Linked DNA regions of Kluyveromyces lactis. The protein of the gene in region 1 purifies or fractionates together with the protein of each later gene. This does not show direct contact. Links are inferred from orthologs where the notes say so. Each region holds a gene or a part of one and is shown on either strand. Other genes may lie near its edges.

Region 1 (2,717 bases):
ATGCCGCATTGACACAATCGTATTTTCTACAAACCTTCTGAACTTATCAGCCGTCCGAAGTGGCTGAGTTTGCGAAACTTTTCCATTCCTCTCTCGCATTGCATGATTCAAATCTTCATCAGTCTCGGCCTTTTGGACAAAAATCTTATAATAGGAAAAAAGACTATTTAAATAGAACCTGACCATAAACATTGACTTCCATCAAAAGGGGAGAGTACCTCTCTGTATTCAGTTCAACAACGTCCAAGGGATTAATATACAAGGTTATAATACAGTATGGGTGTTTTCAACAGACGTAGTAGTGGTGATTCGAGCAGCCATGGTTCCACCGGTTCAAACGAAGTGAAGATTACAAAGGAAGACCGTCAGCATTTGAAAGTTCGGACTGCATCGGTTCATGATCCTATCCTTGAGGCGGTGCAAGAGATGCAGCCCTTCGAGCAAGCAGCAGACACGTTCCAGGGCAATATGAACAGACAGTCGCACGTGCCCACGGGGGAGTTGAAGGACGTGTTTGGACAACCTATCCAGCAACCTGATGTGTCTAACCCCACGCGGTCACGTGACGAGCGTCCGTTGGATACGATTAGAGGCTTTGAGTATTCAATCTCTGGAGATCCGACTTGGTCGCAGCAGCTAGAAACGCCACAGTACGGGTTTAGGGTCAGGCCCGGGTTCCAGGCGTATACTGGTGGTGTTGCAGGCAATGGGAACGACCATCATGGGTACCCATCGAACTTGAATATGAATACGAATACGACGAATTCGTACCAGCAACAAGGTGTGTATCAGGCACCCGTTTCTGATGCGAATAAGGAACAGAAGACGAAGAAAAAGAGAGGGTTTTTCGGCAGGAAGAAGAAGGACTGACACTGGGGCGAGAATGCCCCAGTGCTATTCTTCTTCTTCTTCTATTTACTTCCCTCTCTTTTTGCGTCAGTTCTCTCATTCCATGTAACACATACACATCCACGCCCTCTTCAATTCTCCAAAAAAAACGTCTGATATCCTGTAATACCCTAATTATTGGTGGAAAAAATGATCAGAGTTTGCTGGTGCCGCGTCCCTCCAGGAGCAATGCCTTGTTTAAAGGATGCACCTTTTACCTGTAAGATACCCTTGGGATTTTCCCTGGCAAACTTCATCTTACTGTGTGGATATAAATAAAATATGTGCACACGTACAGATATATAATTCGAAAAATTACGATACCATACTTATGTACTACTGCTTCGTAGGTATTCTAGGACAACAACGCTTCTTGAGTTCTCTCGTTGTTTGTTCACGTCTCTTCATATACCTCATTGCCAAAGAAAAAGAAATAAAGCTTTGATTCGAGCTGAAAAGAATCTTCTATGAGATGAGATGAGATGAGGTACAGCTGAATAGGTTGGTAACAGGACAATAGCTGGCCTGGATACAAAGACTGTGCAGTAAACCATATTCCACATTGATAATATGAGCGGTAAATCTAAACGTCCTAGACAAAGACACGATTCGTCGTTGCAGTTGGCCAGTGTCATTGGTGCTGGAGCGAATAAGATCAAGAAACAGATAAGAAACGTAGAGAGACTACTACAGAAGAGAAGAGACGTACTTCCTGACACTGTAATCGTGGAGAAGGAACGTATGTTGGAAGGTTTGAAGTTTGAATTGAAAGAGGCAGAGTTGAGGCAGGTTGGTCGTAAAAATGCTAAGAAATATCATATGGTGAGGTTTTTCGAACGGAAAAAAGCGTTACGGAGGTACAAGCAAGCGTCCAAGAAAGTGATTGCTGATCCTGAGAATAAGAGATTTCAAAACGAGTTACGTGACTGTACGATAGATCTATGTTATGTTGTCAATTTCCCAAGACTGAGTAAATATATTGCGTTATATCCAACTGGCTCTTCAGATGCTAAAGAATTGTCTGAAGAAGTGAAGAAGGGTTTAGATAGTACTGACGCCAAGAGAACTGAATTCCGTAATCTTGTTGCTAAGCAATTGGATGAGGGTACTTTGCCCGTGTCCTTGAGCCAAATTTTGGAAGGTAAGAGATTGAATAAGGACAGTACGGGTGTCATGTTGGAAGAAGAGCAAGTAGAAGAAGAAGCTACAGAGAAACAGTTCAACGACGAAGAAGAAGAAGACGATTTCTTCGAGTGAAGTGTAGGCAACTGCTTGCCAACTGTTGTACTTTTATTAAAAAGAATTAATGTATTTATATATGTGTTTAAAATGTAAGAGTTCCTTACTCCATCAATTTGTGCTTCAGGTGGTACTTGATATCAAGAGCATCACTTACCAAAACGAAATCTAATTCTTTACCGCGAATATCTTCAGGTACAACAAAGTCGAAACTTAGTAAACCTTTTCCATTGGGTCCTAGTCTTGGCTGACATCTTTTCAACATGATTAGTTCATCGTTTTGATATGCAATCGCAAACCAGAGCTCTCTTTGAGTCTTTGGATATTTCGCACAGTATACTGAAAATTCTTTAGGTACCCTGTTATGGTGTGTGGCCTTAAGAACTAATGATTCATTACTGGTCTGAGAAGTGAACACAATATTGTCTAATATGGGTAACCTGGATATTTCCCTCAACATACGTTTTTGATGGTCAGGTGTAACATGGTACTGTCTGGACATGATATTCTTCACCTTGTTCTTGGCGCCATTGTCATCTTGAAGTCTTGCTAAAGAGTCTAAACTCATCTTGTATCCATTATCAGGTAAT
Region 2 (3,109 bases), on another chromosome or scaffold:
CCATCTACGCAATGCGACATGGATATAGAAATTGAACATCTCTGACAATCCAAACAAAGCGGTTAAGACTCTGAAATCAGATATCTTGAGAGCGCTGTAAACTCTGTATAAGGTCTTGTTAGCGAATGGGAACCCGTAACCAAAGTAACCCAACGAGATCAACCCGTTCAAGATCCAGTAATGGAAAGAGTTCTTGAACAAATTGAACAATGGCATGGTTTCCAGGGAGAAAGAATGAATGAACAATGTTTCGAATTCTCTCTTTAGATAATGGACCATAATCAGACGGTAGATGAACTTATTGAAGAAATCGTTATATGGAACATTTTTAGAATGAAATTTGTCCCTAACTGTTGCGTTTAAAGACAAAAGGTAAACTAAAGAATGGATCAAGATCGGACCCAAATATTCGATGAAAAACACCAGTCTCCAAGAGATCTGCGGACCCAAATCCTTAACATACCACTCGTTAACTGAATCGAACGTGTTTTTCTTACCAACATCGTTCAATTCAGAGGGCCCAATGGCGACTTGCTTACCTTCTTTCAGATAGCTTAACCTTAACCTGTTAACGCTAATATTGTGATTGCTTTTCGAAATCTGTTGCAAAACAGATTGATATGTCAACGTATTTTCTGTTGGAACTTCCAACTTGACGTCTTTTAAGCTCTTTGAGCGTGATTTAATAAAAATTGAACTGGATGCAGACATAAAGGGACACTTATCTAGGTAATATCTTCAACTGTCGGATTAAAATATACAGCGATAGTTTGGAAAATAGGATCTCAAAACTAAACCAGAAAATTTATCCAGATATACTAATTCAGATTCTGATTGCTATAACGTACAAAAGTCAAAGCTGGTTCCACTTCTCTGATTTTTTATCTGCTTTTATAAAGATACCGATATTCACAACAACAACCAAAAATGATCTCATCTGCATATTTTCGCAATGTTGACTATGAAAAACTTGTATAGAAATCCTTAGTAAACGTACGCATTGTAGCAAGTATCTGGCTCAACATAGCAAAAAAAAATCTTGAAAAGTTGTAGATTCATATGATTATATAATCAATTCATATCACGTGATACAGATGTGACAATAGTCATGTGACTTTAACGTTCATCGTTCTGTACGTACCAAGAGGCACAGAAAGACCAAAGATGAGAACTTTGAAAAAGAAATTTAATATTGTTTTTTCATTCAAAATTTTTCAGCTGAAAAAAAAAAGTTTCGAAAGCTCATCTCATCGAATGTAAAGTAAGAGTTTATTAAGTTGTTCTTGCTTGAAAGAAGTAATCAATTGTTTATAGAATAGTATTGTGTACGTTTTCTGTTCCTATAATCTACCCATTTTAGAAGAGTTTTACAGCCGTCCAGGATTCTGTTTCAAAGTCAACGACAATACCTGTTACTGATTCACAATTTTAATTCTTTTTTTTTCCTTTGTCCAATTTAGAGAGAAGAAGATCAAGAGCAGCAACAGCAGCATAATCATTATATCTCAAGACAGATAATTCCCAACTAGTTAAGAATAATAATGGCATTCCAAGCAGGTTCTAGAGGTGGCAGAGGCGGTTCCCGTGGTGGATTCGGCGGTGGTTCCAGAGGTGGTTCCAGAGGTGGATTTGGCGGTGGCCGTGGTGGATTCGGTGGTTCCCGTGGTGGTTCCAGAGGTGGATTCGGTGGTGGTCGTGGTGGTCCTCGTGGTGGCGCTCGCGGTGGTTCCAGAGGTGGATTTGGTGGTGCCCGTGGTGGTTCCAGAGGTGGTCCTCGTGGTGGTGCTCGTGGTGGTGCTCGTGGTGGTGCCCGTGGTGGTGCTAAGGTTGTTATCGAACCTCATAAGCATGCTGGTGTTTTTATTGCCAGAGGTAAAGAAGATCTTTTGGTCACAAAGAACATCGCTCCAGGTGAATCTGTGTACGGTGAAAAGAGAGTTTCAGTTGAAGAACCTTCCACTGAAGAAGGTGTCCCACCAACTAAGGTGGAATACCGTGTTTGGAATCCTTTCAGATCCAAATTGGCTGCCGGTATCATGGGTGGTTTGGATGAACTATTCATTGCTCCAGGTAAGAAGGTTCTATATCTAGGTGCTGCTTCCGGTACATCTGTGTCCCACGTTTCCGATGTCGTTGGTCCAGAAGGGTTGGTTTACGCTGTTGAGTTCTCTCACAGACCAGGTAGAGAATTGATCTCTATGGCTAAGAAGAGACCAAATGTTATCCCAATTATTGAAGATGCTAGACATCCACAAAAATACAGAATGCTTATCGGTATGGTTGACGCCGTCTTCGCAGATGTTGCTCAACCTGATCAAGCCCGTATTATTGCTTTGAACTCTCATATGTTCTTGAAGGATCAAGGTGGTGTCGTTATCTCTATCAAGGCTAACTGTATCGATTCTACTGTTGATGCTGAAACTGTGTTCGCTAGAGAAGTTCAAAAATTGAGAGAAGAAAAGATTAAGCCTTTGGAACAATTGACTTTGGAACCTTATGAAAGAGACCATTGTATCGTTATCGGTAAATACATGAGAAGTGGATTATAAGAGCTGCTAAAGAAATATTGATATTTTGAAACCAATGCTAGAGTATGCCTACTTGGTTCATGATTCCTTCTATTAATCTTTTTTTTTTGGCTTCTAATCTTTTTTTGCTTACTTTTTAGTTTTAAAAACCTTCATTCCAATACAATCATTAACACTATAATATTATTTGAAATTTTGCATCTCATTGATTCGTGATAAAGTTCTACAAACTAGAAAAGTCTCCACTTCGTCTTCACTTGTATTTTGTCACTCTGTGTGTTTCTTTTACTTACAGTCCAGGTCCTTCGCCTGTTCAAAGGAGATCGACTAACTGACGGGAAAAGAATAGAAGAAGATTTCAAAACCTTGTTCATCAACTTGACAATACAAAAGAACCCATTTTCACAATAACGGTATTAATACTCGAACACTCTTAACCTTATTTTGTACATTTAATTTGTAGATATATTATTATTATTATCACATACTATATATAACTTATATATATCAATAACAACCATACGTTCTAGAAAATCATGTCTGGTAGCAGTGAATTAAAGGATATAACCCCATACGGGTTA

Evidence for each region. The genes of interacting proteins can lie anywhere in the genome.
Region 2: the proteins of EFG1 (region 1) and NOP1 purify together in Saccharomyces cerevisiae (affinity purification with mass spectrometry, with the first as the bait; 3 studies listed by BioGRID). This does not show direct contact. The link is inferred for Kluyveromyces lactis from reciprocal best matches to the Saccharomyces cerevisiae genes EFG1 and NOP1.

The regions. Positions count from the first base shown.
Region 1 is NC_006037.1:870,818-873,534, reverse strand, and holds EFG1 (Efg1p), read left to right. Parts: upstream 1-1,458; coding exon 1,459-2,145; downstream 2,146-2,717. Other genes in the region: KLLA0_A09933g (DUF2406 domain-containing protein), read left to right, coding at 277-870; SLH1 (RNA helicase), read right to left, coding at 2,231-2,717. UniProt on the Saccharomyces cerevisiae protein: Involved in rRNA processing. Required growth at elevated temperatures, resistance to hydroxyurea and for cell cycle progression.
Region 2 is NC_006039.1:399,880-402,988, forward strand, and holds NOP1 (rRNA methyltransferase NOP1), read left to right. Parts: upstream 1-1,541; coding exon 1,542-2,549; downstream 2,550-3,109. Other genes in the region: trans-2-enoyl-CoA reductase (NADPH) TSC13, read right to left, coding at 1-711.